3 linked regions of the Ovis aries genome follow. Each later gene encodes a partner of the first gene's protein in a complex. Links are inferred from orthologs where the notes say so. Each region holds a gene or a part of one and is shown on either strand. Other genes may lie near its edges.

Evidence for each region.
Region 2: the proteins of TNNC1 (region 1) and TNNI2 are in contact, whole or in part, in an NMR structure (PDB 2MKP), measured with the Homo sapiens proteins. The link is inferred for Ovis aries from reciprocal best matches to the Homo sapiens genes TNNC1 and TNNI2. Residues at the interface, in NP_003271.1 of Homo sapiens: Asn18, Glu19, Phe20, Ala22, Ala23, Ile26, Val44, Met45, Met47, Leu48, Gln50, Pro52, Glu56, Phe77, Met80, Met81, Cys84, Met85, Lys86, Asp87; in NP_001139301.1 of Homo sapiens: Arg116, Met117, Ser118, Ala119, Asp120, Ala121, Met122, Leu123, Ala125, Leu126, Leu127, Lys130, His131, Lys132.
Region 3: the proteins of TNNC1 (region 1) and TNNI3 are in contact, whole or in part, in a crystal structure (PDB 4Y99), measured with the Homo sapiens proteins. The link is inferred for Ovis aries from reciprocal best matches to the Homo sapiens genes TNNC1 and TNNI3. Residues at the interface, in NP_003271.1 of Homo sapiens: Asp3, Ile4, Lys6, Ala7, Glu10, Gln11, Thr13, Glu15, Gln16, Glu19, Phe20, Ala22, Ala23, Ile26, Phe27, Val44, Met45, Leu48, Gln50, Glu59, Met60, Glu63, Glu66, Asp67, Gly68, Asp73, Asp75, Glu76, Phe77, Met81; in NP_000354.4 of Homo sapiens: Glu32, Pro33, His34, Ala35, Lys36, Lys37, Lys38, Ser39, Lys40, Ile41, Ser42, Ala43, Ser44, Arg45, Lys46, Leu47, Gln48, Leu49, Lys50, Thr51, Leu52, Leu53, Leu54, Ile56, Ala57, Lys58, Glu60, Leu61, Glu64, Arg136.

The regions. Positions count from the first base shown.
Region 1 is NC_056072.1:48,510,127-48,517,206, forward strand, and holds TNNC1 (troponin C, slow skeletal and cardiac muscles), read left to right. Parts: upstream 1-2,811; 5' UTR 2,812-2,837; coding exon 2,838-2,861; intron 2,862-4,304; coding exon 4,305-4,335; intron 4,336-4,551; coding exon 4,552-4,698; intron 4,699-4,961; coding exon 4,962-5,076; intron 5,077-5,294; exon of another isoform or gene 5,295-5,300; coding exon 5,301-5,437; exon of another isoform or gene 5,438-5,518; coding exon 5,519-5,550; 3' UTR 5,551-5,724; downstream 5,725-7,080. Other genes in the region: NISCH (nischarin), read right to left, coding at 813-908. UniProt on the Homo sapiens protein: Troponin is the central regulatory protein of striated muscle contraction. Tn consists of three components: Tn-I which is the inhibitor of actomyosin ATPase, Tn-T which contains the binding site for tropomyosin and Tn-C.
Region 2 is NC_056074.1:46,019,905-46,026,440, reverse strand, and holds TNNI2 (troponin I, fast skeletal muscle), read left to right. Parts: upstream 1-2,962; 5' UTR 2,963-3,128; coding exon of another isoform or gene 3,129-3,239; exon of another isoform or gene 3,240-3,320; intron 3,321-3,331; 5' UTR 3,332-3,890; intron 3,891-3,979; 5' UTR 3,980-3,985; coding exon 3,986-4,108; intron 4,109-4,251; coding exon 4,252-4,341; intron 4,342-4,442; coding exon 4,443-4,619; intron 4,620-4,726; coding exon 4,727-4,822; 3' UTR 4,823-4,910; downstream 4,911-6,536. Other genes in the region: SYT8 (synaptotagmin-8), read left to right, coding at 1-77, 142-309, 396-501, 595-728, 831-1,064. UniProt on the Homo sapiens protein: Troponin I is the inhibitory subunit of troponin, the thin filament regulatory complex which confers calcium-sensitivity to striated muscle actomyosin ATPase activity.
Region 3 is NC_056067.1:63,046,287-63,053,295, forward strand, and holds TNNI3 (troponin I, cardiac muscle), read left to right. Parts: upstream 1-2,393; 5' UTR 2,394-2,537; coding exon 2,538-2,548; intron 2,549-2,846; coding exon 2,847-2,862; intron 2,863-3,014; coding exon 3,015-3,101; intron 3,102-3,517; coding exon 3,518-3,559; intron 3,560-3,837; coding exon 3,838-3,969; intron 3,970-4,349; coding exon 4,350-4,439; intron 4,440-4,943; coding exon 4,944-5,120; intron 5,121-5,896; coding exon 5,897-5,980; 3' UTR 5,981-6,045; downstream 6,046-7,009. Other genes in the region: DNAAF3 (dynein axonemal assembly factor 3), read left to right, coding at 1-106, 276-350, 436-844. UniProt on the Homo sapiens protein: Troponin I is the inhibitory subunit of troponin, the thin filament regulatory complex which confers calcium-sensitivity to striated muscle actomyosin ATPase activity.

The sequences.
Region 1 (7,080 bases):
CTGCTAGGCAGCCTACCAGGCCCATAGGCGCCCAAGCCCACCCAGACCCAGGAGGGCCTCCTACTTCATCACAGTCTGCGACTTCTCCCCTTTCTATCCTGCATCTCCTCCACAGCCTTGAAGTGTGCGTGGGCAGTGAGACGCTCTCTCTCACCCCCACAGTCCAAAGCCGTGAAGACCCCTAAAGTTCCGGGCTCTTGGACTCTCAGTCCTGAGCCACCCCCTCAATCCCCGGGGTCTGGGCTCCACTCGCCTCTATTCTTGTCTCTGCCTGAGCGCCCAGGCCCCCCAGATGCCCCCTTCACTTATGAGCAAATGTCAACTGCAACCCCAAGGGCCCCCAGACCAAGGCCCCGCCCCCTCTTTTTCTTCACGGCTTGCAGCGCCCTAACCCTTTCCGCTGATACCATCCGAAGACCCCCTTTCCTAATTCCCCTTCTCCGGGACCCCCTGTCATGTCCTCCCAGGCCGGCGCCCCTCCAGGGGAGCCTCCGCCTCAACCTGACCCCTCTCCTCTGCAGGCCTCCTTTATCCCTTGATCCTTCCCATTCCTAGCCTCCTTTTCTAAACGCATACCCTTCCTAAGCCCCCTCTCTGCGCCCCACCCCAAGACCCTTTTTCCAGACCCGCGGAGCCCAAGCGCCCGTTCCCCAGATTCTGCCATCCCAGGCCCCCTCCTCAAAGTCGCAGCGCCCCGACATCTTCCTCTCCAGCTGAGGGGCCGAGAAGCCCACCCCAACCCCCCGCCCCCGACTCAAGACTCCAGGTCCCAGTCGCCACCTCCAGTTCGGGAGCCCGGGCCCCCAGCACACCGTATACGTGTCCACGAGCTCAGAGCCCACGACGCGCGCCGTCTTGGCCGGCTCGGCCTCCCGCTCGGGCCCGAAGCTGCGCGCCGCCGCCGCCATGTTCCGGGCTCGGTCGCCGCCGCCGCCCGGCGCAGACTGGCAGCAGTAGGGGGCGGGGTCAGCGTCCCACCGCCCCCTGGCCCCCGCCGCCCCCCGCCCCCGGCGCGAGCCGTGCGGCCATGCCGGCCCCGCCGCCTTCTCGCGCCCCCGCCCCACTCCGCCCCGCGCACGTAATTGACAGCTGCGGCCCGCGGCGCGCGTGCGCAGGCCGCCTGGGACGGTTCGATTGCGTAATCGGTCCCCGGGGCCCCGCCCGCCGCGCGCCTTGCAGCTCGGGAGAAACCGAGGCTCGGGCAGGAATTGCTCTGGGCTCTGGCACTCGAAAGGGATGGCCCTGCACCTTCCGTGGCAAGTCACTGCCACGCCTGGCCTTAGTTTCCCTCTCCGCAAAAGCGACAGTAATTACATCTCACCTACCTCTTGGTCTCATTCCCTGGAGTGTGTTGAAGGAGGATCTGATTTGTAACTCTGAGCTAGTTCTTAACCTCTGCAAGACTCAGATATCTCTGTCAAATGGACTTTCTAGAGAATTGAGGGGGTTAATCCATGCAATGGCTGGCAGGCAAGGCAGGGAACTGGTATAGGCTCTGTGACTTCCCAGGTGGGTCAGTGGTAAAGAATCCGCCTGCCAAACAGGAGACGCAGGTTCCATCCCTGGGTCCGAAGATCCCCTCGAGGAGGAAATGGCAACCCACTCCAGTATTCTTGCCAGGAAAATATCCCATGGACAGAGGAGCCTGGCAGGCTACAGTCCATGAGGTCACAAAGAGTCAGGCATGACTGAGCCACTCAAAACCAGCTGCGTGAAGGACGTGGAGGGGTTAGGTGGAAAGGATATGTGCTGGCCATCTGGCACAACACCCCCAGATGGTATCCTACCAGAGCTCAAAATGAGGGGGTGACAGATTGGCGCTGGACTCAGGAACTACAGTGCTGGAAAAGGGAAGCATGGGCACAGAGAAGGAGCCCTAACCCAGGTCCAGAAGAGGTAGTGACCCAACTGGAGAGGGAGAGTCTCACACAGACGAGGCATCTGTTGGTGTATTTGTTGACTGGTAGAGTGCATTTCAGCCTAGACCTAGTACTTTTCTCCCTGAGGAGATGACAGGTCTGGGGAGCGGCTCCTCTGGCACCCTTGGCAGAAGGGCTCCAAACTGCACTCTCTTGAGGTAGGCCAGTGCCTTCCTTCTCCACGAGTCCCACAGCACCACGATCCGAGCTTGGCACTCAACGCTTCTCTTGGCAGGGTCCTCCACTCCCAGCTTCTTTTTGCATACTGCTGCAGGAAAGTGAAGTCACTCAGTCGTGTCTGACTCTTTGCGACCCCAGGGACTGTAACCTACCAGGCTACTCCGTCCATGGGATTTTCCAGACAAGAGTACTGGAGTGGGTTGCCATTTCCTTCTCCAGGGAATCTTCCCAACCCAGGGATCTAACCCGGATCTCCCACATTGCAGGCAGATGCTTTACCATCTGAGCCACTAGGGAAGCCCAGAGGGGTTTAGTTTAAGTCAGGAGCTGCCAAGTCAGCCAGACCTGAGCAAGTCACCACCCCTCCAGGAGCCTCACCCACCTCCTTGGTTGGATAAGAGTTGTGTTGCTGATCTGGGGGCCTGGCCTGGGGGCCTGGCCTTGCAGCTCCTGCCTGTCCTGGACTCATGTTTTCATTCATTCCAAAAACCTTTCCAGAGAGTCTCCTGGGGGAATGGGGGACAGAGGGAAAGAGCTCTGGTCCTGTAGCCCTTCATCTGCTCCTTGCCCTGGGCAGAGGACACAGGGACTCAGGCCAGTGTGAGATCACCAGGGCCAAGGGGAGGGAGTAGAGGATATTGCAGGCAGGGGTGGGCTGGGTCGGGAATGCGGCGGGGCTAGGCTATTTAAGCCCAGGGCCGCTGGCAACCCCAGCAGCCTGCCCTGTGAGCCGCCAGTATGGATGACATCTACAAGGCTGCGGTAAGGGATGGGCCTGGGCAGGGCTGGGGTGGGCATACCCTTTGGGGCCTGGGGTGGGCGTACCCACTGGGGGCTCAGGGGCAAGGTCACCCTAAGGAGGTGGTAGGGACCCAGGATAGAGTCCAGTAACTTTCAGCCTAGACCTTCAAGGGGCCGGTTGGTCTGGCATTCCAGGGTGTAGAAGGGGTGAAGAGTTTAGGATCTGGGGGGAACTATCAGGGTTGGTGGAGGAGGACATCAAAGCTATAGCATCATGTCCAGCCCGGTCTCCAAATGTCTGTAGCCTGTGTCACTGTCTCTGGGACACACCTCTCTGCATTTGTGTGTTTGGTCTGTCTCTTTGTTCCTCCCAAGCTCTCCTTCTGAGGCTCTGTGGCTGTTTCCCTCTCCGCATTGCTGCCCCTCATATTTGGCTCCTCACCCATCCAATCCCCCACCACCCCCTTGGCTGGCTGAAGGTGCTCTGGAGGGTGGGACAGGGGTTGTGAGGAGGGGGCTGCAGAGGGCTCTGAAGCTTGATGCAGGCACAGAGGGACTAGGAGGGAATAACAGACCTGGGGCGCAGCCCCTGTTCAGCCTGGCAGGCTCAGGGCTCAGTGGCTCAGCTAAGGGGAAGGGCTAGAGGGTGGTCACCTTTTCTTGGTCACCCCAAGTCCCTGCAGGGGCCACTGAGGGGCTTCAGATGCTATTCCAACCTGGGAGTGGGGGTGTTGCTGACCTCCGTCCACCACAGAGACAAGGACATCTGACCCAGACAGCTGCGCGCAAGGGAACCCCTACCTCAGCTCCAGGAAGTACGGACCCCCTCCTGGGCAGGAAAGGCTACAGCTGGCTCTGGGGGTGCCCCTGTCTTTCCTGCAGGAGTCTGTGGAGCTGGGAGAGGGGCAGCCCTCCACCCCGTGCCCATACAAGGCCTGGCGGACCAGGGACTAATTTTGGCTCTTGAGACACCAGGAGGCCAAGGGGCCAGATAACGCTGCCCCACCCCCTGCATGCCAGAGTCCCCAGAACAATCACCAGGTTTAACTTTGTCCCCCGTTAAAAATAGCCCAGTGGCCACCGGTCAGGTTACAGCGGGTGGCTTTGCCTACCCCCGCTGTGGTTTTATTGTCCGAACCTGAGGGACAGCTGCCCCTCCGGCCACCCAGCTTGGGTTTCAGCAGGGGGGCTGAAAGGACACTGAGAGGCCAACTGGCTATTGTTATTCGGGGTCACCTTGGTCCTGGAGAGGGCGCCCACCTGCCACCCTGGCCCTGAGCCCAGCCTCAGGGAGGTGAGCTGGGTCACCTCAGGGCTTGGGGACAGGCTGGGAGAACTGAGGCCTCTGCTCTGTGACCTGGGAATGGCCTGCCTCTTCCCGGCTTCAGTCTTCCCACCTGTGGAATGGGCTGGTTTCCTCGACAGAAGCCAAGGTCTGAGCCTGAGACTTCTTTTCTTCTCTAGGTAGAGCAGCTGACAGAAGAGCAGAAAAATGGTGAGTGCCCCAACATGGCTGTGGGGAAACAGTGGGGCCCAGCTGGGGGAGCGTGAGGACCCCAGGCTGCAGGCCCGAGGCTGGGGTCCCCCTCCCGGTCACCCCAGAGGTCTCAGAGGGGAGCAGCAGGTTAGCAGGCGGCCCTCGGCGTCTGGCCTTCAGGGTTCTTGACTGAGCCATGCTGCTCTGCTTCCCCTCCTCTCCTCCTGGACACAGAGTTCAAGGCAGCCTTTGACATCTTCGTGCTGGGCGCTGAGGATGGCTGCATCAGCACCAAGGAGCTGGGCAAGGTGATGAGGATGCTGGGGCAGAACCCCACCCCTGAGGAGCTGCAGGAGATGATTGACGAGGTGGATGAGGACGGTGAGCCCCTTTGCCCCTCCCCAGGCCCCCAACTCTGGGAGGACTTGAACCCTGGCCCTGCCACTTCTTACTTTGCACCCTTAAAGGAGCTGTTTGGCCCCTCTGATCCTCAACCATATCATCTATGCAATGGGCGCAGTAATCACACTCGCCTCACAGAGTCACTGAGAGGATTCAGTGAGAACACCACTGGGGTCAGTGTCCAGGGCAGGGCCAGCCATCCTGAGCACCACCCTTTAATGGTGTGCCGCCCTCTCCCCCAGGCAGCGGCACAGTGGACTTTGATGAGTTCTTGGTCATGATGGTTCGCTGCATGAAGGATGACAGCAAAGGAAAGTCTGAGGAAGAGCTTTCAGACCTCTTCCGCATGTTTGACAAGTGAGTGCGTGAGCCTGGACCTCCGACCCTGGCCCTGGCAGAGCTGGGCAGAGGGGGACAGCTTTGTGACCTTGGCCTCCATCTCCCGTTCTGCACAATGAGGGAATAGGATGCCCCATCTCCTGGTGGCCCTTCCCTGCTTCCCAGGGTCACAAGCAGGGCTGTTTTGCCCCCTCCCCCTGCCCCTAAAATGGGCTCTGAGGCCCCTCTCACCCAACTGGCAGAAATGCTGACGGCTACATCGACCTGGAGGAGCTGAAGATAATGCTTCAGGCTACAGGGGAGACCATCACAGAGGACGACATTGAGGAGCTCATGAAGGATGGTGACAAAAACAACGATGGCCGCATTGACTACGATGGTGAGTGGGTCCCTCTGAATCCCCCTGCCCACGCCCTGCCCAGGCCCCATGTCTAACCTATGCCCGTCTGTCTCTCCGCAGAGTTCCTGGAGTTCATGAAGGGGGTGGAGTAGACACCAACCTTCACCCAGAGCTGCCTGTACCACCTTCCAACTCCAGCTGGGCCCCGGGACTGCGGGCAGAGGGCCAGGGTCCCCAGGATGTGAACTTGGGTGTGCCCTTGACAAAGGGCCCTCCATGACTACCTCCCTCAGCACTGTCCTAGCCAATAAAATCGTGCTCCTGGAGGCCTGGTGTCCAGCTTTCATTCCCCCATCTCCGCCAGTGGCCTCTCCTGCCCTGACCGCTGCCTTCCCTGTCCCAGAACCCATGCTCTCACCACCCTCGCACCCCGCCTTCTACAGCTCAGAGACCACCGTGCTCCATACCCACCTGGCTCCTTTCTAGAACTGCTGGTGCCCAGGCTCCATCTCCAGCAATTCCACATCTGGAGTCTGTGGTGGCCCAGGAATCTGAGTTTCACAGGCCCCTGGGGGCCATGGCTTTAGTCAGCCAGTTGGCAGCAGAAGGGTCCTATACTCGGAGGGGCAGTCCTTCAGCACCAGGCCAAGCCCTGGATGCCACTTGGCAGAGCAGCCATGGCTCCTCCCGTCTGGCAGCAGGACGCTGGGGGGTCCTTGGGCCTGCCCAGTCCCCCTGCCCGTCCACCTGGATTTCCTGCTGTAGTGTGGACTCCCCAGACCCAGGGGCATATCGCCTGCTCTACCTCCCCTCACTCATTTCACAGGTAAGGACCCTGGCACCCGGGGCGGCTCAGGGAGGGGCCTGCGGGGTCATCCTGTGAGTCTGGGGAGAGCAGAGCCACCTGGCTCCCAGCCAAGGACTCTAATGAACAGGTCCTGATGGGCAGGGCTCCCAGTTCCTGTGAACCTCATGACCCCAGCACTCACTTTCACCCCCTGTCAGGGAGTGGAGGCATGGGGCCTGGTGACTCTCAGTTGCCTGGGGGTGCCCAGGCCAGAGCTACGGACAGAACAGTGAGATTGACCTCCGGGAGATGGGGGCCACAGGGAAGCGAGGTGTCAGCAGCAGTGCTTACCAGAGGGACAGCTGCCGCGGTGCCCAGGCTCCAGCCAGAATGTCAGCAGCTGTCGTGCTCCGCCCAGCCACTCCACAGCCTCCCCACCTGTGCCCCAGCCTTGGCATTCTCCAGACAGGCCCGGCATTCCAGAGACGGTCTTGGAATTCTGAAGATGCCTCAGTGGAGGCCAAAGCTGGTGGGAGCTGCCTGGTCCCTGGAGAGATTGGGGAGAGGAGATGGGTCCCCTCCGTCCTGCCCTCGGGAGCTGGAGAACCGAAGGACCTACATGTATACCCAGGAATGACATTCAGGATAGGAGGGAGGATGACAGTGGGTGGCACCACCAGCCTGTGTGCCATTCCAGGGTTTAGTCACACCCCTACTATGTGTCTAGCACTGGCTGAACACTGGGACTTTTCAGAAGGAGGCCCAGTCCCTAATTTTGTGGAATTTACAGTAAACTCAGGAAGACAAAGAGATGAGTACAGTGAGGAAACCAGCAGAGTGCCAGATGGGGATTGGAGAGGGGATGTGGCTGGTGGGGTGGGAGAGACCCTGGGTA
Region 2 (6,536 bases), on another chromosome or scaffold:
ACGCTGGGCGCGTGCACGAGACGAAGGTGCATCGTGGCACGCTGTGCCCCGCGTTCGAGGAGACCTGCTCCTTCCACGTGAGTCAGGGCTGGGCCCAGGGGGCTGGGTGGGGCGGCCAGGCGGCTCACACCCCTCCCGCAGGTGCCGCCTGTGGAGCTGCCCAGGACCACCCTGCGTGTGCTGCTCCTGGACCACAGGCGCCTCTCCCAGCACCGGCCGCTGGGCGCGCTCAGCCTGCCGCTGGGCTCCGTGGACCTGCAGCACGTGCTGGAGCTCTGGCGCCCACTGGGCCCGCCCGCTGCGGCTGAGGTGAGCCCGCCCGCCCCGGGCTCCCGCCCCCCACCTGGCTCCGCGTGCTGGGGGGGGCAGCTGAGGCCCTCTCGTGCCCCCCACAGCCTGAGCAGACGGAGGAGCTCTGCTTCTCGCTCCACTACGTGCCCGGCTCCGGCCGGCTGACTGTGGTCGTGCTGGAGGCCCGAGGCCTGAGCCCTGTGCTGGCAGGTGAGAGCTGGACCCACCTCGCCATGTGGACAGAGGAACCCAGGGCTCAGCCCTCAGACCTGGGAGGCCCTCTGACCCCTTTCGCTCTCCCAGACCCCTACGTGAAGATCCAGCTCATGCTGAACCAGAGGAAGTGGAAAAGGAGAAAGACGTCGGCCAGGAAGGGCACGGCCACCCCTTACTTCAACGAGGCCTTCACCTTCCTCGTGCCCTTCAGCCAGATCCAGGTGGGCTGCCTGGAGGAGGGGGCAGGAGAGAACCTCACTCAGGGCCAAACTGACCGCTGTCTCTCTCCCCCTCCTCCTACACCTCTGCCTGCTTCTACCCAGAGCGTGGATCTGGTGCTGGCCGTCTGGGCCCAGGGCCCACAGCTGCGGGCCGAGCCTGTCGGCAAGGTGCTGCTGGGCGCCCGGGCCTCTGGGCAGCCTCTCCAGCACTGGGCGGACATGCTGGCCCAGGCCCGGCGGCCCGTCGCCCAGTGGCACCGCCTGCAGCCAGCCAGGGAGGTGGACCAGGCCCTGGCCTTGCAGTCCCGCCTGCGTCTGCCCTTGCCTGGCTTCTGAGGGCAGCCCTGGGCCTGGGCCTCCCCGTGCGCATTGCCCCAGGGCCCGCGGCAATAAACGCCTCCCCTCCACCATGCGTCTTTCCTGAGCTCTGCAGGCGCGGCGGGGTCAGGGGCTCCTGACACCGCCACGGCCCCTCCCATGGACAGGGAGAGGGTCTCCTCTCGTGGCTCATCCAGGCCTCTGACTTGGGCCTGACCCCTGAGTGAGGGCAAAGGGGCCCCTCCAGGCCCGCTGGGGATGATCCGGGAGAAGGGGCCCCCATCTGTGACTAGAGAGCTAGAGACGGGCCCCTGGGGACACACCGGGCAAGAGCAAGGTGTTTGGGAGGGTGGTGACAGTGGGTGGAGGGAACTCCAATTCCTGGGGCCACCCCAGTCCCCCACAAAGCCCTGAAACTGACTGGATGGTGGGGCGGGGCCTCCCCTGCACGCGCAGCAGGGGGCAGTAGATGCCTGCAGAAGCCACCCTGGGCCTTTGGGGGCTCAGCCTGGCCCAGAAAGCAACTCTAACCCCCACACATCTGGACGGCTTCAGCTCTCCCTGGCCCTCCCCATGGCCGAGAAGCCCCAGCTCAGAGGATGCCAAGTCATGGTCGTCCGGATGCCTCTGCTGGGCGGGGGCCAGGGTGGGGGGCCGCAGGCCCGGGGCTGGGGTGAGGAGGGCAGTGTGCTGGGCCTGCCTGAGCAGCCAGGCGGGCCCTGGGCCCCCTCGGGTCAGGGAGAGGTTCCCAGGCGGGTGGTGCCGAAATCCTGAGTTTGAAGGATGTGTTCTGAGCTGTGCGGGGAGCCAGCCCACGGGCAGGGTGGTCGGGCAAGGCTGCACGTCCATCTGGGACCTCCCATCCAGCTCTGAGAAGAAGATGGGATCCCACCCCTGGAGGGCAGTCCCTCTACCCTCAGCCCAGAGCCCCTGGTGCTGCTGCAGGCCGCAGAGGCTGTATCTGGGGTCCGGCCTTGCCCCAGGCCAGCCTGAGGCAGGGAGCACTTGAGCAGCTCATGCCCAATCTGTCCACTGGGCTAGAGGGGACTGTGGGCAGCAGAGTGTGAGTGGGCTGCTGTTTCCTGGGGGGCCCAGAGGCCTGGGAAAGCCGAGGGCGACCCAGAGTGGACCCTGCCTCTGGGCAGACAGGGCTGGGCAGGAGTGACCCCTCGGCTGACCCCTGAGCTGGCACCGTGGCTGCTGAGGCCGTCACACTGTCCTCGGGCTCCTTGCAAGATACGAGGGAGGCGACTCGAAGTCGTCACCTCGCCCTAAATAGACCAACCCAGCCTCAGCACCCCCTCCCAAGACTTCTTGGCCTGGATGGCAGTGGCGGCGGCGGGGCCAGGCCAGGCGGCTGGGCAGGTGGGGAGGTCCCTGTGCCCCCATTGGTCTGAGGAGGACTCCATGCCCTTTCTGAGCGGGGGCCCAGCCCGGGGGAGGCCATTTATAGCCCTCCCCCGGACCCACCAGCCCGACTCGCCACTGCCGGCCTGACCTCGGTCCCAGCGCCGCTGCCCAGACGCGAGGTGAGGCCGGCCCGGCCCGCCGAGGCCAGCACGGGCGCGTCTGGAGCGCGCTCTCAGAGGGACTTCTCCAGGGCGAGGGTGGGGGTCCGGGGTCTGAGGGCTTCTGCAGAGCAGAGGGCTGCAGGGAGACGCCTCCGGAGGGGGCTGGCATGGCATGGGGTCCCGGACGGCACGGCGGCAGCCAGGCCTCGGCTCTGAGCCTTGGGAAGAGGGGGCTTCGAGGCGTGAGGGACCCCAGGCCCTACCGGGGGGCGGCGTCTTCCGTGCACTTGGGCCAGAAGCCGAAGGAGCAGGGCTAAAAATAACTGGCGGCTCAGGCGGCCACCTGCGCTGGCCAGACCCTCCCTCCCGTGGGGACAGCTGCAGCAACTCCAGGCCCGCGGGGACATTTCGGGCACCCTGTCTCCTCTTACTGCTCCCTCCCCGCCCTGGGGAATTCCAAGACGTGGCCCTGAAGGAGGTGGGGGCGGGGGGTGGGCTAGTGTTCTCCTGGCCCCACCGGGTACAGGGCAGGTGGGCAGGGGTCCTGACCCCTCACCTTTCTCTCCCACAGGCTATCAGCTCAGGATCGCACGATGGGGGAGTAAGTGCAACCCCCAGCCTGCTGTCCCTGGGGCCCCCGCCCCCCAGTGCTGGGTGGGGGTCTCTGCGTGTCCCCACCTGACCACCCCACGCACCCGCCTGCCCCATCACACAGCCCCATGGCCCTAACCTCTCTTCTCTCTCCCCTACCCCCCGCCCGCCCTCCTGGGACAGTGAGGAGGTGAGTACCAGCTTGGGGGTGAAACACTGAGGGGATGGGACCCCCAAGTCAGGACAGGCCTGAAGCTGGAGCTCCAAGGCCCAGGGAGACTGACTCACCCTGTGGGTGAAACTGCCCCACCCCACCCTCCAAGACGCTGAGAAACAGAGGAAGTGGCCTTCCCGTTGGCCCCTCCCACGGGCCGGGGGGAAGTGGGCTGCGGCCTGGTCACTGGGGAGTCACTTCTTGTTTCTCTTGGCTGCACCCCGCCCCCACCTCGGGGCCCGAGGGTCTCCCCTGCCCTCCTCCCGCCTTCCCTGTCCGAAGTCTCTTCTCCAGACCCCAGGCCTCCCCACCAGAAGGGCCGCCCCGGCAAAGGGTCCCCACGCGGCCCCGTGTTCCCCACCAGGCCCAGGCCCCGCCGTGCCTTGGGCAGGATGCAGGGCTGGCCGAGTGGGCAGGGAAGGGTGCGGGGTGCCAGGACGCCCCACCGGCCGGCCCTGACGGCGCCTCCTCTCCCCTGCCCTGCAGAAACGCAACAGGGCCATCACGGCCCGCAGGCAGCACCTGAAGGTAAGTGAGGGCCGGGGAGGGCGGCCCGGGGGCGCAGCAGCCTGGCCAGCGGCGCCCTCACTGCCCGCTGCCCCCACCCCACCCCCCAGAGCGTCATGCTGCAGATTGCGGCCACTGAGCTGGAGAAGGAGGAGGGCCGCCGGGAGGCGGAGAAGCAGAACTACCTGTCAGAACACTGCCCGCCATTGCACCTGCCCGGCTCCATGTCTGAAGTGCAGGTACCCAGGGCCCCCGCATCGTGGGCCCTGTTCCTGGCCTGGCCCATCCACCCCCCGGGTCGGGAGGACGAGCGGGGTGGTCAGGGTGGGTGGAGGCCAGCCGTGGGGTCGCCCGCTCGCCCACCCGTGACCTCCGCCGCCAGGAGCTCTGCAGGCAGCTGCACGCCAAGATCGACGCGGCCGAGGAGGAGAAGTATGACATGGAGGTGAGGATGCAGAAGAGCACCAAGGAGGTGAGTGGCGGGGGAGGCGCGTGGGCCGGGGCGCGGGCTGCCCTGATGGCGGGGCCCAGTCCCCAACGCCTGCCCGCCCAGCCTCGCTGCCCGCCCTGCAGCTGGAGGACATGAACCAGAAGCTGTTCGACCTGAGGGGCAAGTTCAAGCGGCCCCCGCTGCGACGCGTGCGCATGTCGGCCGACGCCATGCTGAAGGCGCTGCTGGGCTCCAAGCACAAGGTGTGCATGGACCTGCGGGCCAACCTCAAGCAGGTCAAGAAGGAGGACACCGAGAAGGTAGGCCGCCCCCGGCGGCGGGGGCCTCAGCCTCGGGGCCCGCCTGCGGGGGCCGGACGCCGGGCGGCGGGGAGGCGGCGCCGGCCTGAGCCCTGTCCCACCTGCAGGAGCGCGACCTGCGCGATGTGGGCGACTGGAGGAAGAACATTGAGGAGAAGTCAGGCATGGAGGGCCGCAAGAAGATGTTCGAGACCGAGTCCTAGGCCCCTCACCCCGGCCGCCGCCCGGCGCCCCGTCACCGGGGGCCCTGAGGCTGACTTGGCGCCTGTCAATAAAGGATTCCAATCCCCAGGCCTGCTCCTCCCTGCCCTGGTCCGGCGCCGCCCTATCCACAGGCCGCCCTGGGAAGGCCCCGAGACTGTGCCTGGGCTTGGCGTGGGGGAGCCACACGCGGGCTTTGGGGGTCCCGGCTGTCCGGGCGGGTGGTCTCCAGGCCGGAAGCTCTCCTCCTCGCCCACCCGCTGGGGTGGCCGGGGCGTTGCCGAGCGACACCCGGAGATGGGCGCCCGTCTGTTGTCGCTGGCGTCACAGAGGCCCCCTCGGGGCCAGAAACACTGTCCTTGAGGCACCGGTACACGCAGGGGCCTGGGGTGGCCTCCCTCCCTGCACAGGCAGCCCGTTCTCCCCAGCTGCCCCTCCCCAGACCCCAGGCCCCCCGGAGGGGCTTGGGGGGCGGTCGTGGACCAGACTCCTGGGGGCCTCGAGGGGCTGGGGTCTGTCTCCCCCCGAGACTGGTGACGGAATAAGGCAGCCCCTCTCTGGGCCCAGCGGGAGGCCTGCCTTCCTTCCTGCCCGCCCCGGCCCTGCCACCCCCCACATCAGGACACAATGTCCCTGGCAGGCCCAGATGGGACTGTCACAGCAAGGCCGCCTTCAGCCTCCTTCTGAGGGATGATGGTGCGGTCCGCGAAGGCCCCACGCTCAGATCTCTGGTGGGGAGGCCAGGCTGCCACCGTGATGGAGCGGCTGTCCATCCTGCCCTTGCCCTCGGGAGGCCCTCACGATTGATGTGCAGGGGCCCGGAGCCTTGAGCGTCAAGGGAGGGACGTCAGCCCGCCCAAGGCCTTGGCCTGTCCCACCGCCTGGCCCTGCGGTGCAGGGACTGGGCTCCGTCCTGCAGGCACCTTCCTGCGGGCACCTTCCTGCGGGCCCTCCTGCTCCGCTACCCTGTGACTTGGGGCAGGCCCAGTCCTAGCACTCCCGGCGGCGGGAGGCGGCGCTCCAGTTGAGGCTCGCCGAGTGCGGAGCCCAGCGCGGGCAGGCAGCTGGCAGTGGGCTCCAGGACTGAGTGGGCTGCAGTGGCCAGAGCTCCCAGTGGCGGAGGCGGTACCTGCCCCCCACCCGCAAAGTGAGCCCAGCAACTGTGCAGGGAACGGGGGCGGGGCTCCCCAGGGATGCAGCCGCCACAGGCGCCACCGACTTGGTGGGTTTGGGGAATGACCTTCTTGCAAGCAAATGTCAAACACGAGGTTCCAGAAAGTGACTCCCTGGGCTGGGGGGCAGGTGGGGGTGACGTCGTGCTTGGGGCAGCTCAGTAGACTCTTGTGGGCTCAGTTGGGTCCAACTCTGTGCGACCCTGGGGCCTGTAGCCTGCCAAGCTCCTCTCTTCATGGAATTATCCAGGGAAGAATACTGGAGTGGGTAGCCATGCCCTCCTCCAGGGAGTCTTCTCAACCCAGGGATCGAAGCCACGTCTGCATTGGAGGCGAATTCTTAACTGTCTGAGGCACCTAGGAAGCCCCCTGACTTATGGGTACTTGTTGCGTTTTCCAATGAACACACGGCATGACAGAGGACCACCGGAACCGAGCCAAATGGGCAAACACCCAGCCAACGCAGCTCGGCCTGGCTCCACACCCCTCTGCCACCCCCTGAGGGTGGTGCTCCCGGCTGACCTCAGTGTCCCTGCAGCTATGT
Region 3 (7,009 bases), on another chromosome or scaffold:
TCCTGGAGCCCTTCACTGTCCACTTCCTGCCCCTTGATTCTGCCCACACCCTCCACCACAAGAGCTGCTACAAGGGACAGTTCCAGCTCCTCTACGTGGCCTGTGGGTAAGAGGACCTGGGAGGCGCCCAGATCTTCCTCACCCAACCCCTCCTCCCTCAGACCCAGGAATCTAGGCCCCCAGACCCTCCTCAATCAGTGTCCAGGTCCCCAGCCTCCCTTCTTCTCTCAGAACCTGAAAGTCCGAGCCTCAGCCTTCCCCTTTTCTCTCCACAGGATGGTCCATCTTCTCAGCCCAGAGCTGGGGGCCTGCGTGGCCCCCAGAGGACGCCTGATTGTCGAATTAGCCCAGTGAGCCAGCAGAGGGCAGGGCGGGCAACTTCCAGGCCGGGGGCGGAAAGCGGGGGCCCCCTAACCCGCCGCTTCCTGGTTCCAGGTTCCTAGTGGACCTGCGGCAGGAGCAGCTGCATGCGTTCTCCCGCCGGGTCGGGGAGCTAGCACAAGCGGCTGGATTCGCCCCACAGTTGGGGGGCAAGCCCTCGGACACCTTCGCGCGCTTCTACAAGGCCGGGGACTCAGCTCCCGGCCACGAGGACCAGGCTGTGGAATCTGGGACTCCGCCCCCTGACGTCCTGGCCCCGCCCCTTGAGGCAACCGACTGGCCCTCTGAGGACCGGACCCAGCCCCTTGAACCGGGGACCCCACCCTCTGAACCCCTCAAACTGACCTCAGAGTCTCAGGCTTCACTCTTGGAGGCTTCAGTTCCGCCCACAGGGAGTCAGGCCCCTAAATCAGAGAATCAGAATGTTCCTCCAGAGACCAAGTCCCCCATCCCCGACCTCTAAACTCCGGTCATAGAAGGAGAACGCGCCTCTAGAATACTCTCAGCAGTCTCACTCGGCGCCAGCGGTGTCGCTAGCATTTCGGATTCCATTCCTGGGATTCTATATTTATTCCTAGAATTCTAGACTGTTCTCTTGAGTTCTGCCTTTCACTCCCAGACTCTGAAAACACCCTGGAGCTCTAGCTCTGGGGCTCTGCTCAGGCCCTCTGCGTGGTCCCCTCGTCTCCAGGCGTCCCATTCCTAACTGGGGGCTGGGGTGTCGCCTCGCACAGGCTGGTCTACCCTCAGGTGGGCCAAGTAAAGAGAGCCAAGAACTCTTCTCCAGGTGTCTGTGTCTTTCCTGCCCTCAGTCTGTCTCCAAGAATGGGAGAGGGAGGGGGTGTGGGGGGGTGAGCAAGAGGTGAATTTTTATGTGCTACCTGCTGAAGCATATTAAAAAGCAGAGACATTACTTTGCCAACAAAGGTCTGTCTAGTTAAGGCTATGGTTTTTCCAGTAGTCATGTATGGATGTGAGAGTTGGACTATAAAGAAAGCTGAGTGCTGAAGAATTGATGGTTTTGAACTGTGATATTGGAGAAGAGTCTTGGGAGTCCCTTGGGTTGCAACCAGTCCATCCTAAAGGAAATCAGTCCTGAATATTCATTGAAAGGATTGATGTTGAAGCTGAAACTCCAATACTTTGGCCACCTGATGCGAAAAGCTGACTCATTTGAAAAGATCCTGATGCTGTGAAAAATTGCAGGCGGGAGGAGAAGGGGACAACAGAGGATGAGATTGTTGGATGGCATCACCAACTCAAGGGGCATGAGTTGAGTAAACTCCGGGAGTTGGTGATGGACTGGTGTGCTGCAGTCCATGGGGTCGCAGAGTCGCACACGACTGAGTGAATGAACTGCTGAAAGCCTGGGCACCCCACACCTGTATCCTCAAGTGAATCAGCAAACTGTACTGATTGGGTAACAGGTTTGGGGCACTGAGGCTGAGCATAACACAGTGAGGAAGTTCCAGCCCTCAAGGAGACTGCAGTTTAGTGAAGGGGCAGGGCCTAGACTCCTGGGTCTGAGGGAGGAGCGCTGGGGGTCTGGACCCCCAGGTCTGAGGGAGGAGGTGTGGGGGGCCTGGACCCCTGGGTCTGAGGGAGGAGGGGTGGGGGCCTGGACCCCCAGGTCTGAGGGAGGAGGGGTGGGGGCCTGGACCCCCAGGTCTGAGGGAGGAGGGGTGTGGGGCCTGGACCCCCAGGTCTGAGGGAGGAGGGGTGGGGGCCTGGACCCCTGGGTCTGAAGGAGGAGGGGTGGGAGGCCTGGACCCCTGGGTCTAAGGGAGGAAGGGTGGGGGGCCTGGACCCCCAGGTCTGAGGGAGGAGGGGTGGGGGGCCTGGACCCCTGGATTTGAGGGAGAAGGGGCTGGATTCCCAGGCCACCAAGGTGAAGGGGTGATCCAGCTGGAGCATGGCCCGCCCCACCCCTCACGCGCCCCGTTATCTCGAATCCTGGGCAGGGGGAGGAGGGGGCAGCAGTATATTTAGTCTCCGTCCTCGCCCTTTATCTCAGTGTCCTCAGTGAGGTTTGAGCAGACCGGACGAGACAAGTCCCAGGGACCTTCAAGGTCACTCCGGACGCTCCCTCCCTGACCCTCCAAGAGCTCCTTGCTCCCGGGGTTCTGCCTCCCTCAGCTCCTGGCCTGAGACCCAGCATGGCGGACCGGTGAGTGAGGACTGGTAACCTGGGCTCTTGAGGCCGGAGGCGGGTGGGGGCTCATCTCCCGGGTCCCTGTGAGGAGTGAGAGTTGCGAGCCTGGACTCCACTCTGAGAAGGAGGTAAGGACAGGAAACCCGGGTGTCCGAATGAGGTGAGAGCTTGGGACTCCAACCCCTAGGAGCCTAGAATGGGGAGCTGGTAGGCCGGAACTGTGGTCAGAAGGGCCTATGGGGTCCCTTGGGACACGGACTAGACAGGACCCAGGCCCACCAGTCACCCGCTTTCTTGGTTTCTCTCCCTCCAGGAGCGGCAGCAGTACGGTGAGAGCGGGCGTGGGCTGGTCCCGCGTGCCCGGGGAGGGGGCTGCGGGAAGGGCTCTGGGGAGAGAGACTGCAGCCCTGGAAGACGGCAGGGAGACGGGTTGGGGAGGGGGGCTCCCCGTCGTGACTCAGCCCCGTTCCCCCAACCCCAGGCGGGGGACACGGTCTCCGCGCCCCCTCCTGTCCGACGCCGCTCGTCAGCCAACTACCGCGCCTACGCCACGGAGCCGCACGCCAAGGTGAGGTCGGGGGCCAGCGAGGGCGCGGGGCCGGTCGGGGGGCGCCTCGCAGGGTTTAGATTCAGGTTCTTAGGGCACTGGCGTCCTGGGGAGGCGGGGCGGAGCCAGGGCCCTCATGGGACTTTGGTGGTGGGCGGAGCCCAAGAGGAGTAAGGCCTTTATGGGACGGGCTTAGCAGAGGGCCGACGTCTGATTGGTGCGAGCTTGAGGATGGGCGGAGTCCCGCCGCCTCCGCACCTGAGAACGCTTAGAGACGGTGGGCGGAGCCTAGCTATAGGCCCCAGATTGGTGGATGGGGATGAGGGGCGTGGCTTCCCGCGGGCTGGAGTTGGAGGAGGGACTTGACTTGAACGGGCGGGATTCTGATACTCCTCCCGCCGTCCTCCGTCATCCTTCCTTGCTGTCTTACCCGGCAGAAAAAGTCTAAGATCTCCGCCTCGAGAAAACTGCAGCTGAAGGTACGGATGAGCCCACGGAAAAGCTAGGTGTCTTCAGGGGGCGGGTCTTGGACGTTGGGGCGGGGCTTCGGGTGAGCGACTGGGCGGGGCCTGAAAAGTTTGGCGGCGGGATGGCCCTGCCAGGGAGGGCTGGGGCCCGGGAATGATGGACATCAACCTGGAGGAGGCAGGTCTCTGGAAGCCGGCCTGGGATTAGAGGGCGGGGCCCGGTGAGGGTGACTACCCCGCAGCGTCCTCATCCCAGCACTGGGCCGCGGTTCCCGGCACCCCCTCCCTAGACCCTGATGCTGCAGATTGCGAAGCAGGAACTGGAGCGGGAGGCCGAGGAGCGGCGAGGAGAGAAGGGGCGCGCTCTGAGCACACGGTGCCAGCCCCTGGAGTTGGCCGGGCTGGGCTTCGCGGAGCTCCAGGTACTGGTTCTAACCAGGGACTCCGGCCCGGCCTAGGCTCCCAGGTTCCTAGTGTCCGATCTTGCGTCCCTTGGGACTCAGGGGTATACTTACGATGCCCCCACTCTTCTGCTCAGGACCTTTGGGCCCAATTTGCCAATTCTCACCCTTAGGAGTTCAGAAATGTGGCCCCCAGCTGCCTACAACCTCAAAACGCAGAGACTGGTTCCTCCAGCCCAACTCCAGTCCAGATTCTCAGAACCTCTGACTTTAGAACCTCTAAAGTTCCCCAGGGTCTGACTTCAATCTACTCCTCCAGGTCCCCAACCCCTCCTCCTTCAGACCCAGGAGTCCAAATCCTGGGGTTTCTCCTCACTACACACACCGCATTCCTCCACCAGGACTTGTGCCGAGAACTCCACGCCCGAGTGGACAAGGTGGATGAGGAGAGATATGACGTGGAGGCGAAAGTCACTAAGAACATCACTGAGGTGGGAGGCACTGGGCAGCCTGGGTCCCTTTGGGGTAGTGTGGGATGATTCAGGCTCTGGTCTCAGCCTGGCCCCTTGCAGCTCCTTACAGCTGCAGACACCAGGAGACGCAGGACAACTCTGTGAACCTGGCAGGGAGAGGCCAGAAGGATGAGCACAATAGGGTCAGGGATGAGCACAAAAGCCAGGAGGGGACAAAGCAGGAAATATGTTTGTGAACATTTGTGGCTGGAGCCTCAAGTGTTGGTAAGTCAGCTCAAGTGTGGGCCAGGGACCTGTGAGATGCATGTAACTGGACTGGGATGTGTCGGTGGCTTTCAGAGATGAGGCCAAGGCAAATTGGGTATCCAATTACAGGATGGGGAGCTTGGATTTCATCCTGAAGGTGGTAGAGGCCTGAACTAGGGAGAGCCTGGCTAGGGATAGGAGAGAAGTGTAGGGTGGAGAAGTGAGGTAAGCAGGAAGAGGAGGGGGGTCTCCACCTCCCTTTATGGCTTCACCCAGATCGCAGATCTGAACCAGAAGATCTTTGACCTTCGGGGCAAGTTTAAGCGGCCCACTCTGCGTAGAGTGCGGATCTCTGCAGATGCCATGATGCAGGCACTGCTGGGCGCCAGGGCTAAGGAGACCTTGGACCTGCGGGCCCACCTCAAGCAGGTGAAGAAGGAGGACACGGAGAAGGTGAGTGTGGCTCAGTCCAGGAAAGGGGGTGCTTGGGGGAGGAGGTAGTGGGCAGCAATCCTAGGGCCCAGCCTGAGGGCGGGTGATATTTGGAGTTGTGGGGAGAAGTATCTGGTAAGGGTCCTCCACAGGAAGTCTAAGAGGGGCACAGGAAATGCAAGAGTAAGATAGGATGTAGAAGAGAAAGACAGGGAGTGCATTAGGGAGAGTGGAAGTGGCGAAGAATCAGGAGGTACATGAGGGAGACAGGAAGTGCATGAGGGAGAGGAAGTGCAGGAGGGAGACAGGAAGTCCAAGAGGGAGACAGGAAGTGCATGAGTGAGAGAGGAAGTGCAGGAGGGAGACAGGAAGTGCATGAGTGAGAGGAAGTGCAGGTCGGTCACAGGAAGTGCAGGAGGGAGACAGGAAGTGCAGGTCGGTCACAGGAAGTGCAGGAGGGAGACAGGAAGTCCAAGAGGGAGACAGGAAGTGCATGAGGGAGAGAGGAAGTGCAGGAGGGAGACAGGAAGTGCATGAGGGAGACAGGAAGTGCAGGAGGGAGACAGGAAGTCCAAGAGGGAGACAGGAAGTGCATGAGTGAGAGGAAGTGCAGGTCGGTCACAGGAAGTGCAGGAGGGAGACAGGAAGTGGGGCATATTGGAAAGGATTGTCTGAGGGGACAAGAAGTATTCCAGAACCAGACCCTGCAATGGGCATCTGGAACAAGTGACCCAGCAGGCGGGAGGGCAAGTGGAGGCTACCAGGAAGACACGCTAACCTCTGACCCACCCCCTCAGGAAAACCGAGAGGTAGGAGACTGGCGCAAGAACATCGACGCGTTGAGTGGAATGGAAGGCCGCAAGAAGAAGTTTGAGGGCTGAGCTGACTGCCCACTGCCCTGACCCTGGCCTCGAGGATGACCCCGAGGAATAAAGCTTCTCTCTGAGCTGGGGGTGGCTGTCTGTCTACTCCTGGGGGCGGGGCGGGCGGTTAGGTGTGAGAGAGGCTGGAGAAACCGGGGCAGGAGTGGTACCAGAGCAGAGCAGGAGCAGAGTTGGGTCTCCACTTGGGAGGACACAGAGGTGCCGAGACCAAGGAGACCAAGGCCCGGAGACAGACATCCGGAGGCACAGACAGATGGAGTCAGCGGCACAGCCAGAGAGAGGCAGGCAGAGCCCCAAAGGCACAGGAGAAACAGATGCGCAGGAAGAAGTGCACAGAAAGAGGGGATAGAGAGACAGATATACACAGTGAGACAGAGATGGGCTTACCTCGGAAGAGAGAAATAAGGACCCACAGAGAGAGACACAAAGAGGCCACACACATACACGCACGCACAAGAGCTGGGAAGCTAAAGATAGACACACAGCTGGAAGACACAAGGGGCTTCCCTGCTGGTGCAGTGGCTAACACGCTGTGCCCTCAATGAAGAGGGCCCAGTCCAATCCCTGGTCAGGGGACTAGATCCCACACGTCACAACTAAGACTCAGGGCAGTCATACACATAAATTAAAAGAAGAGGAAGAAGACAGGAGCTGAGTCCCGGACAAGTACTGAGAGACCTGTGGGACACAGACACCCCCAGACACAGGCTGGAGTGCAGAGACACCCCCAGACACAGGCTGGAGTGGAGACACCCCCAGACACAGGCTGGAGTGCAGAGACACCCACAGACGGACACAGACACCCCCAGACACAGGCTGGAGTGCAGAGACACCCACAGACGGACACAGACACCCCCAGACACAGGCTGGAGTGCAGAGACACCCACAGATGGACACAGACACCCCCAGACACAGGCTGGAGTGCAGAGACACCCCCAGACGGACACAGACACCCCCAGACACAGGCTGGAGTGCAGAGACACCCAGAGAAATGCAGAGAGAAGAACCGGCAGACAGAGTGAAGAA